Neurospora crassa OR74A: one gene and its partner. The protein of the gene in region 2 binds, or shares a complex with, the protein of the main gene of each other region. Links are inferred from orthologs where the notes say so. Each region holds a gene or a part of one and is shown on either strand. Other genes may lie near its edges.

The links. The genes of interacting proteins can lie anywhere in the genome.
Region 1: the proteins of prk-10 (region 2) and NCU01471 are in contact, whole or in part, in a crystal structure (PDB 3T4N), measured with the Saccharomyces cerevisiae proteins. The link is inferred for Neurospora crassa OR74A from reciprocal best matches to the Saccharomyces cerevisiae genes SNF1 and SNF4. Residues at the interface, in NP_010765.3 of Saccharomyces cerevisiae: Ser465, Thr466, Val467, Ser468, Ile469, Leu470, Thr472, Ser473, Leu474, Pro475, Gln476, His478, Arg479, Met482, Ser487, Ala489, Ala490, Ile493, Ser494, Pro495, Leu496, Thr498, Lys499, Lys500, Ser501, Tyr550, Pro563, Gly588, Trp589, Ser608; in NP_011400.1 of Saccharomyces cerevisiae: Leu41, Val43, Leu58, Gln59, Ser61, Trp68, Ser70, Ser73, Phe75, Asp151, Gln152, Asp153, Glu154, Glu155, Thr156, Ile160, Met204, Leu232, Ile233, Asn234, Gly243, Lys246, Leu255, Gly258, Glu259, Leu261, Met262, Arg263, Arg264, Ser265.

What each region holds. Positions count from the first base shown.
Region 1 is NC_026505.1:4,628,124-4,633,557, forward strand, and holds NCU01471 (nuclear protein SNF4), read right to left. Parts: upstream 3,677-5,434; 5' UTR 2,858-3,676; coding exon 2,591-2,857; intron 2,280-2,590; coding exon 2,156-2,279; intron 2,088-2,155; coding exon 1,938-2,087; intron 1,867-1,937; coding exon 1,202-1,866; 3' UTR 411-1,201; downstream 1-410. Other genes in the region: NCU01472 (hypothetical protein), read right to left, coding at 43-122. UniProt on the Saccharomyces cerevisiae protein: Adenine nucleotides-binding subunit gamma of AMP-activated protein kinase (AMPK), an energy sensor protein kinase that plays a key role in regulating cellular energy metabolism.
Region 2 is NC_026505.1:1,659,469-1,665,234, reverse strand, and holds the start of prk-10 (protein kinase SNF1), read left to right. Parts: upstream 1-2,322; 5' UTR 2,323-2,802; coding exon 2,803-3,218; intron 3,219-3,303; coding exon 3,304-4,139; intron 4,140-4,407; coding exon 4,408-5,049; intron 5,050-5,106; coding exon 5,107-5,381; 3' UTR 5,382-5,766. Other genes in the region: NCU11040 (DUF92 domain-containing protein), read left to right, coding at 443-628, 713-1,675. UniProt on the Saccharomyces cerevisiae protein: Serine/threonine protein kinase essential for release from glucose repression.

The sequences.
Region 1 (5,434 bases), about 3.0 Mb from region 2:
GGCTTCTCAACACGAACAGTCGGAAGATGCGGGTTAGCTAACCTTGGCTGCGAGTCTATTGTACTCTCGCACAAAGTCTCCTCGATCTTGGAGTTCGTCTGCATCGGAGTAGCCTCCGACATCGCCACTGGATGATGTCCATGTCGCACTGCTTCTGCTCGCACGCCTATATGCCACAGGATCTGGAAGTCGGCCTGCCGTGGCGGATTGAGGGATACCGCGCCATGTACTTGACCTTTCATCTGTCTGCCCTCTCTTGGGTACGCGTCTGGGCAAGAGGCTCTTGGGGGTTGAGGGCGCACCGACCGATGCAACGGATGTCCGGTCGGTTTCGTAATGATAGTTTTGCATGCCTTCGTTCTTTTGGAGGATATACAGACGTCGAAACAAGTAAAAGAAGGTATCTGGGAGGCGATAGTACGACAAGATATCCAAAGTGACTGCAAACTGATGATGCTTTGTGAAAGCCCTCTAGAAAACTTAAGCCCAGAGCATGGATTGACGCATCGTGTCGTTTGTCGTAAACTGCTGCTTCCCGTATTCTCATGTCGCTCTTTGTGTCCAACCTGTTCCTTCCCGATGAGACTGATAACCCACCTAAGAGGTAGGTGGAGCAATGAATAGAAGAGACGGGAAACCAAGGAAGCAACGAAGCGACCAAGTGTCAGAGGAAGAAACAAAAAATGACAATCACAACCATCGCTGAGTCACCTTACTACACTGCCTAACAACTACCTAGATAGTAATTTATGGCCGACGCCATTGCGCTGGCTAAAACTCAAGGCGAGCACATTCTCATCTAGACCTGCCTCGTTGTCAGTTGAACATTCAAATACCTAGGTATCCATATCTACAAAGCAGGTAAATATGCTCACCACTACCTGAACATCACTACAGTACCGAAGTGACCACGTCAATCCAGTGCTGTACGGGGCAGGGTGGAATGGAAGAGGAATTTTAGAGCAGGACCACTAGTAAGCCATTGTTCAGCAATAACAGCACCTCCTCTTGCCGTGTTCCAGGATGAGAGAAGATTCCATCTATATGGCCCATCGAGGAGGTAAGAATATACGACCCTAGTGTTCCACTGATTCGACATACCCTCCAAAAACAAAAGCGCCATGCAATGCAAAACAAAACCATACCTTCCTATAGCCAACCTAAGGCCATGACAAGTGCCGCCCATTCTTCGTGTTCCCTTTTAATATTCCTGTAGGTCATCCTCTTCCTCGCCGTAGAGCAATACGTATTTGAGGATATCCGAGAGAGAGATGATTCCCTTGAGGCGGCTGTCATCGTCAACAACAATTAACCTATGTACTCGAGACTTTCGGATGGTTTCGAATATCGAGTCCAGGCGATCCTCTTCGCTGCACGTGTAAATGCCCCCGAAATCTTCAGCTCTCTGAGACAAGGCGTCGCCAACAGTCGCTGTCAGCTCGTCGTACGCACCCCCTTTGATACAGGGTATGACGTCGACGGCTTCAAATAGATTCATAACTCTGTTGTCCTTGTCGACAATTGGCACAGCCGAGATGTTGTACTTGACCATGAGGTGAATGACATCCAGAACGGAGCTGTTCATGTTCGCCGTAGCAAGGTCGGTGTAGGTTCCCAAGCCAATCTCCCTCACGGGCTTCTTTAGCAACATCGTGTGCTGCTCGTTGTTGACCGCGATGAACTTCAGGATGCGGTATTGTGTGATAACACTGACAACAGTCTCTCGGCCTGTCTCGTCGTCCGTGTCGATCAAGGGAATTCTCCGAGCTCGCGTTTTAAGCATTCGTCGACAGGCTTCGTACAATGGGCGCATGGGATGGACAGATACGGTCTCGAGCGGCAGAACACCAATGGCCCTTTCGATATCTACATGCATTACTCGTCAGCCTGACGCCCCGCAAGAGAGGACCTCGATAGTCCCTGATGATGGCACTCACCTCGAAGGCTACTCAGCCGAAATTGATCGACTTGATCGATTTCGTGGGGGAACTGGCAGTAATATTGGATGACATTGATGTAGTCAGTGCTAGTAAGCAAGCCAGCAAAGGTTCCGTTGCGCGAGTCCCAGAGCGGTGCCGAGACAATGCCTAAATGAGGACGGTCAGCATCACAATATCACCACACTGGCCAAGCTAGTTTTGCCTTGTAATCGTACCGTTTTGGATCAGAATATTGAGGCTCTTCCTGATAAGGAGATCGTTGTCGAGTATGACTAGGCGGAAGGAGAGCGGCAAGACATCGTAACTGGTGCGGACCTTGAGGAACTCGCGAATACCTCTCTGTTTGCATCAATGGTCAGTCAGCGACAAGCCCATGAACAAAGGCTGATTGTGTCTTGTGGTTTTCCTCTTCTTCTTTTCTTTTCTTTTTCTGCCAAGCTGCCTCCTTCGACGGCATATCATGAGCAAGGATTAGGGCCATGGACGCCGGCATCTCGCATAGAGGCCAACCGAGCCGGAAGAGTTCAACCGGACTAGATTGGCAGCGGCAGCTTGGGGCCATGGAATTTTCATGTGGATGGAAGTCAAGGGAGAATGGACTGATGGTAGGGAATATTATGGGTGTGCTGTCTCGGAATTGGGATGCTCACCAGACCCTGCATCTGGTCCTTGTCCAGGGGATTTGACGTCTTATCTGACATTGTGCGACTGCTTGGTTTGGGACGAAGGTAGGATGATGGCGCAACGAAAGGCAGCTCGTGACCAGGTCGGAGCGTCAATGGGCCATTGAGATTGGGATCGGTATTGCTGTTCCCAGCTGAGGCTGTGGAAGGTTGGGAAGCCTGGGGAGAAACACCGGCGGCATCACTGCCGGTACCAGAAGCCGCCTGGTCAGGGGGAGTACAAGAGTCGTCCATTATCGCGGTCGTGGAACATACATTGGGGAAGGACCCCCGTTGCAGTTCTGTCTTGCCCGGTACTTGGAGCTTTGCTTCCGTTGACGGAGTATGGACGCGCCGTCCACCCACAGTTTTCAACCGGTGTGATTAAGGCTCCGTTTCTATACTGATATCTTGGATATCCCCTCTCTTCCTTTCAGCCCCTTGACCGTGTCCTGTCCTGTTCCCTTGGTTCCGAATCCGTGGGCGGTCTCGGCTTTCGACGTCAATTGGATTTGACAGAGGTGAATAGTTGTGTGTAACTGCCGACCGCGAAGTGCAAAGTAACGAAGGCGGAGGGGCGTCGTTTGGATGAGAGCCAAGAGACGGAAAAAGAAGGGCAAGAAAGTTGAAGCGACCACGTAGTTGGATGACCTAGAGGTAGGTGGCAGTCGTCGCAAGTAGGAGGACTTGGGCGCAATCGACTACACTAAGATGGACGGGAATTAATACGGTAGCTGAATCTAGCCGTTCCTTTGTTGTATTCGGTCGACCCGTTCGGAGGCAAAATGGTGGATTCACCGCAACGGCAGTTTCGGCGGTGATGGACGGGATACTCGAGAGTGAAAGGGATGGTGATACTATAAAGCAGTGGTTCACTTGAATGTAGACGGAGCGGGCCAGAAGTCGGCGTTGACCAGGGAGTCGAGTTCTCCCTCCACTTAGGTTGCCAGAGCGCTACACAACAATGGAGCCTGTCACGGAGGAGGGGATGCTTGCTGCTTGCGCTGGGCCGGTTCCAGTTCCATTCCAGGTTTATCGGGCGTCGATGGGGTGTTTCGGTCTGGTTTAGGTAGGCAATCCCGGACCCGACCCCTCAGGTAATTTTGGTGCAAGGTGCTGGGCAGCGATAAGGACCCACACGTGTAGATAAAGCTTCTTTCGACCTTTGATTCGTGACCGAGACCGGCGTACATACTTGTACATCTTTAAAAGGTTGCTCTTCACTTTGATATGTACAATGTGTGTTGAGAGTGTCATCGCTTGGCAAATCATACACTTCCTAGGTTGTGTTTTGAACGGCTTCAAATCTGGAACAAGTACATGAAAGTTGACTTGAACAGTGGCAATCACTACTCCTTAGTGAACATGCCCTTCCTGCTCTGAACTCCTCTATCCTGTGTACCCTCCAACCATCTCGATACTATGTGCTGTGATGAAAGCCAACCGGGTCCTCTCTTCAAAGCCGTTGCTGAATGGAAAACAAAAGTAACTTACCAGCCTCTCGCGAGAGGAAGCCATGGTCATATAGGCTATGGTAAAAGCAAGAATATATCTTCCAGTGGTTCTGAATAAGGTGTCTAGAACTGCAACGTGCGTCTTGCGGAGTAAGATCTCCGATGTCTTTGCAAATATAAGATGTGGGAAGCGATGTCCATGTTTCAGATGTTGAACGTTCATCATGCTGTGTCAACATTCACCAACGCCAGGCTGCTCACGCCCACCTCCTATAGCTCCTTATGGTCATATAGCTGGCCAATTGAAGCAAGCCATTAACGTGCCACGATTCCATAAACGTGCCCAGGCCTAAAGAAAACAAATCAATCCGGGTGGCATGGCGATCAAAGAAATGAGATGACAAGATACGTATCTAACACCACCACGCTACTTCCGAACTTAACTGACACTCAACGGTCGTCACTGCATCAAGTCACTTTTTCGTCTTGAACGAAACACGGCACAGCGACCGGTAGATCCGTTAACAACCTAGTAGACCCCCAAATTCCCTTGTATGTACGACAGAGTACACGAATCGGGTATTCCCTGGTGCTGAGACACCACACATTCTTTGGGTCGGAGACAATGAAAGGTCAAAGGTCATGTACACTTCAGTTGCCGTATACAGAGTCACAGCCTGTGTGGTTGTGATAGTGGGTGAGGTGACTTGTTCTTGTGATGCGGCTGGACCAGGATACTACACTGGAGGACAGTACCTATTGAGAGTGGAAAGATCCGACAGGAGATACTACCCGCTGTTCGGCAAAGACAAAGACTCAAAAGCTCTAGAAAGAAAGGGAATGAATGATTGCAACCCATCAATGGAAACACCAAGTAGGTACCTACAGTATCTTCTACTCTACGCGCCTTCGTCCCTAATTTGGGTCCCTGGCAAGCCTGGATGGAGGATGGCGTCGTCGTTGTGGTGATGACATCAAATCCAGTGGCACCCTAGGTCGGGTCCAGTCGCAAGGAGCATCCACAACCGCAGGTGCCACCTCAGCGCACGACCCACTTTTCCCCCAGACGCCCGGGCTCTGGAAGCTGCCTCGCTGCCCTGCCCGTGTATGTGTAATGGTGCGCTCTGTGATTCGGGTCTCAGTGGCCAGGGCGCGATTGCGAGGCAGTGGCAGCTTCGACGCCGCTCACCCATCATTCATGCCTCTGCCGCCGGTCCCTGTTCAACAGATTTGCTCGCATTGATTAACAACAACGAAGGGCAGCAGCACCGGGGGCAAGGCAGCGTGATCCATATTGTCTGTCCGTGAGGTGTCCGTCGTGCTTCCATCCATTTCGCAACCAAGCAGTGAGTGGAGTGAGCGGTGCTCCTCGGTACAT
Region 2 (5,766 bases):
AGCTGACATTGTCCGTCGAAGATCATCAGGTGGGACGGGATGCGATGCCAAGACTTCGACCATGAAGTCGGACTTACCAGCCACTCCTAACTCCTCTTTCCAGCTGGGTGCAGTGGGGTTGGCCAAGGTGCATTTACCCAACAAGGAAGGCGGTGGGACTTTGCTACAGGGGGCATTCAGGTGCTGAACAGGCCCGGGGATCGATCGGCCTTCTGAATGATGACATGAGTTGGGTGGTGAGGTTCAACTTGTTGCCAGCAACACAAAGTCACAACGAAACAGCTGATTGCACGAATTGCCGGCAACAATGAGATAGCCATTGTATTTTGCCTAAAAACAACGTTCTTTGGGGAGAGAAACTACAACAACATCAGAGACCAAATCTCATCTCCTACGACCGAAAACCCGCTCAAGAAAAATACACCAAATTTGTAGCGGCAGCATGAGAGTTGAAATTGCCGTGCCCGCGATCGCGGCGCTCTGTTACAGGGCTTACTCCAAGAAGTCGTTGACACCCGGCGGCATCTTTGCTGCTCTCCTTACGGCCATCGCACACGCAGTTCACCCTTGGAATCTTCCCTTTGCTCTGCTCGTCGTGTTCTTCCTGGCGGGAACGCGGGTAACGCATGTAAGTCTGATGAAGCTCTACCCAGGGGCGGCACAAGTTAGGCGTGGACTTTGACAGCTAATATCGACATCTTTCCCCGGCTAGGTAAAGGAAAACGTCAAGGCCAAGCTCACAGTACACTCCAAGGGCACGTCCGGCGGCGAGGGCCCGAGAAATCACACCCAAGTGTTCGCCAACTCGCTCACGGCTTCCATCTTCTCTCTGCTCCACGCTTATCAGCTGCATGTGCGCAAGCAGACGCTGATCGCTAATCCCACCAGCACAGGGACCGGTAGCCTTTGCTTCTCCTGGGGCGGCGACTTGTTGGTGATTGGTATCATTGCCAATTATGCCTGTGTTGCGGCCGACACCTTTAGCTCCGAGCTGGGCATTCTGTCCAAGGGCGAGCCGCGCCTAATCACAAGCTGGAACTTGCGCAAGGTACCGCGTGGCACCAACGGCGGCGTTTCCCTCGTCGGTCTTGGCGCTGGCCTGTTGGGCAGCATGATCATCGTTACGGCGTCCATGCTTCTTCTGCCTCTTTGCACTGACGAGACGGCTACGAGACTTGGCGGTGCCGCGGGCTGGTCACTGGGACAGCGCCGCATGCTGATTCTCGGTCTCACGGTCTGGGGTTTTTTGGGCAGCGTTGTGGACAGCATTTTGGGCGGGCTCTTCCAGGCCAGTGTCAAGGATGTGCGTACGGGCAAGATTGTGGAGGGCGAGGGTGGCGTGAGGGTACTGGTTACCAACGCTACGAACCCCAACAACGTTGCCGGTCGGACTAAGGCTGAGATTAAGTCGTCTCTTCTGTCTGGCGAGGGGACGGATGCGGTGGAGGATGTCGGCGCCGCTGCCGGTAACAAGTACGATTCGCGCAACAAGCAGCGGAGGTCGAGCTTTGGAGACGAGAGGCCGTCGCGAGTGGTGGAGAACGGCTGGGACCTGCTTGATAACAATGATGTCAACTTCTTGATGGCATTCGGCATGAGCGTGGGAGCGATGGCCGTCGCATCATGGTATTGGGGAGTTCCTCTGCAGTCTGTGTTGTCGCCATGGTGGGCATAAGGCAGTCGCAGGTGGGTGGTGAATGACTTTCGCTAGAGATGTTGGCTAGCTAAACAATTCCATGGATGACATATGAGAGCTCAGTCGTCATTTTGATTACACATTCAGATCACGGCTTTGGGTGAAGCTTGGGCAGGTACCTTGCTCGCTATCCGGATGATGCTAACCAAAAGCCGGCGCGATTGACCATTGAGGTTCTCATTGTACCAAACATCCACAATTCAAGACCAGCGATCCGTACATGGGATCGAAGACCAGCCTGGCTTACAATTGAATCCTTTGGTATTCTATACACGAGAACGTTGTATACCTAGTCTTTGTAATTTCGACTTGCTACCATTTTGGGCCATAATGTGTGGTAGACACGTATAGGCGTACACAGGGCTTTTATCGGCCTTGTGACAATGGTCCTGTGACCGAGCCGGATGACCTCCCCTCGGCCAGCCAGGCGGTAGTAACGAAACATGAAGTAGGTACAGTAGCTGATGAATGATGGAACTTTCCGTCCGGCTCGGCAGCCCCGTTGTACCTAAGTTAAGGTGGCCGCTTTCCGGAGCGCTCTGACCCCGCGATGCTGCCGTTTGTCGTCCCTGCATCCTTCCAACTCCTCCACTAATTCCCCCATTCTTCACCCCAGATCCCCGCCCGACTCCTTCCACCCCGTTTTCCATTACACCATCTCTGGATTGTTGCCCCGCTGCAGTGTTCGCTTGTCCACTTCCTCCTATGGAACCTAACAGCTCCAACACCCACTTGATTGCCCGCTGCGCTGCCCGTCCACCGCGATTGCTGATTCTTGTCGGCTGACAACCGAACACCGACCGAATGCGCATCCGATACATGATGTTCTCCTGAACAAAGCAAGGCGGTACCTTACATCGACCGACGACGCTACAACACAGACAGCCCACCGAGCCTTGACTTGACGTCCCTAGCTTCATTAGCTCCAACCTCTTGGGTCTGTTCGCTCCCGCTCCCAGGATTCAATCGAGGGACCATCGCGGTTCCTCCATTGCCCATTCACCCTCTTCACCAGCCAGTCGGACGACATCTGGTCAGACGAAACGAACGACCTTCCATCCGCGATTCAGTGTCGTCCACTTGTGTTGCAAGCGACTCCGTCTGCCATGGCACAGGCCTACGATGACGAGGAGCTTTCCATCTCCTTGTCTCCTTCTCAGATCCGAAGTCGCAATAAGCGATCCGGCGATGGCGCATCAGGCTTCGGCCCCAGTACCGGCAACCTCCACGAATACGGTCAACACGGTCAGCAATTACACCCTAATATCAACGCCGTCATGGCCGACGCACCCCTCCGCGACAAGATGCGCACCGAGCAGCGCATCGGTGCCTATAACATTGTCAAGACGCTCGGCGAAGGCAGCTTCGGAAAGGTCAAGCTGGCTGTCCATCGCATGACCGGCCAGCAGGTCGCTCTCAAGATCATCGCCCGCAAGAAGCTCATCAGCCGCGACATGCAAGGTCGCGTAGAGCGCGAGATTGAGTATCTTCAATTGCTAAGGCATCCCCATATCATCAAGCTGTAAGGCACCCCTCGACGCCCATGCGCAGCAGACGTTGGCTCTGGTCCTTTACGTACACGTTGGCTAACCCGGCGCGCATACCAGGTACACCGTTATCAAAACACCAACCGAGATCATCATGGTGCTAGAGTATGCCGGCGGCGAATTGTTCGATTACATTGTTCAACATGGAAAGATGAAGGAGGACGAAGCCCGCCGCTTCTTTCAGCAGATGCTATGCGCCGTCGAATACTGTCATCGTCACAAGATCGTTCATCGCGACCTAAAGCCCGAAAACCTCTTGCTGGACGATAATCTCAATGTCAAAATTGCCGATTTTGGTCTTAGCAATATCATGACCGACGGTAATTTCCTCAAGACCAGCTGCGGCTCTCCCAATTACGCGGCTCCCGAGGTCATTGGCGGCAAGCTTTACGCAGGACCCGAAGTCGATGTCTGGAGTTGCGGTGTCATTCTTTACGTCCTACTCGTCGGGCGCCTCCCTTTCGACGACGAGCATATCCCCAGTCTTTTTGCCAAAATTGCGCGTGGAAGCTACATGGTGCCGACCTGGATGAGTCCCGGCGCGGCGTCACTAATCAAGAAGATGTTGGTTGTCAACCCTGTTCAACGTGCCACAATTGACGAAATCCGCCAGGACCCGTGGTTCCTCAAGGATCTGCCGGCTTACCTTCACCCTCCTGTTGAGGAGTTCCTCAATACTGGCGTGGACCCCAACAAGGCCATCAAGGTTAGCGACATTGCGCCAAATGCCCCTCCGCAGGAACAGGAGAAGTTGCATAATGAGGTCACGGAGAAGATCAGTAAAACCATGGGCTACGGCAAGAGAGATGTCGAAGAGGCCTTGGAGGCCGATGAACCCTCGGCCATCAAAGATGCCTACATGATCGTGCGTGAGAACAAGCTGATGCAGAGTAACCGTGAGTCTACGCTCCCTCCCAGCAAGTCTTTTGTCTTCTCATCATTGGAACCTATCGATCCCTTTGCGATGCTATACTCGTCCGTTTTGTCCTTCTTTCGCAGTTGATTTTGCCACGTCCCATCCTCCTTCGGCGTCCATTTTACACTTGCCTAGTGGTGAACATCGCTTGACGCAAAAAAAAAGCAAATCCTTGAGTTTGCGACCATCGTCCTTTTGGAGCAACACCAATGAGGAATACCAGGATACCCTACTAAAAACCGATGAAGAAATTCCAGGCCTCACGACAGAGGAGTCTGTCCCGAGTCCGCTCCATGACCCGAATATGTCATCAGCTCGCTCGATCGCATCCGTTAGCACAGCAACTTCACCGCGGCCATATGTCAGCAAGATCGGTATTTTGCCTAGCAGTCTTCCTACCTACCACAGGGTCTTTATGGAGCGAGAGAAGGCCAAGGCCGAAGGTCTTGAGCCCCCTGATGCCATCCCCACCATCGTTGAGCCGGCAAATCAGCCGCGCAGCCAAGCTGAACAAGAAGAGACTATCCGAAGACTCAAGCCACATTCGAGGAGTCAACTTCGCCTTGACGAGGCCAACAAGCGCCCACAAGGACTTACCCCCGTCCACCCGCCCAAGAAGAACAAGCCTGCTCGATGGCAATTTGGTATTCGATCCCGGAACGCTCCTTGGGAGGCGCTGGTGTGTATTTACAAGGCGCTAAACAAGCTTGGCGCTGGGTGGATTGTCGATGAAGACTACGAAAGAGCCCACCGGGACGATGACGACACTGATGACTATGATGGGCCTAGTATCGGGTCCCGCAAGAAGTCATCATCCAGCATGGATCCCACCAAGACATATAGACTTCCTGCGGACCCCTGGCATATCAAGATTCGGTGGACAACTGATAGTGAGTTTCCGGTCTGTCCGGCCCAAATGGCAAAGTTTGGCTAACATTGGCTGTCAGAGCTCAAAAAGCATTCGGTTGCCTCCGGCCTCAGCGAAGCAGGAGAGAACACGCATGTTAGCCGGGATGGCAGCGACAGCAAATACCAGGTTGTGGCCATGCGTATGGAGATTCAGATATACGAAATGGAGCACGGCGTCTATCTTGTCGATTTCAAGGTAGACGGGTACGAGACCCCCGATGGAAAGCTTCTAGAGGATAAGGAAGTCACGAGCCCCTTCCCCTTCCTTGATATGGCGGCCAAACTCATCATGCAGTTGGCAGACGCAGATTGAGGTGCCCCGACAATCAATTAATGGCTTGCGGTCGCTACGTTCATGCCTTTGGTTTTGTTTCACAGATTCCGTGCCTTCAGTTCTGGCTAATGCGTTGCTGATACCTTTGTACCCTTTGCATATACTTACCGCAGCCTACACTGTTGGACACCATCAACGAACATGACTAATGCTCCTTGACTTGCTGAACAGGAGGAAATATTCGCAGTACGGGTTGGGAAGATTATTTTACATGGAAGCAATTCGACAAACAAGATACGCCTACGTTTAGAGAGTATGGGGGCGGGCGTCACCTTTCTCTTCTATACCATGCTATGTCTCATCATGCACCAGCAGTCTTTTCATGGTCGAGTTTGTCAGTGCCAGACTGGCTTTGAAATCAGGC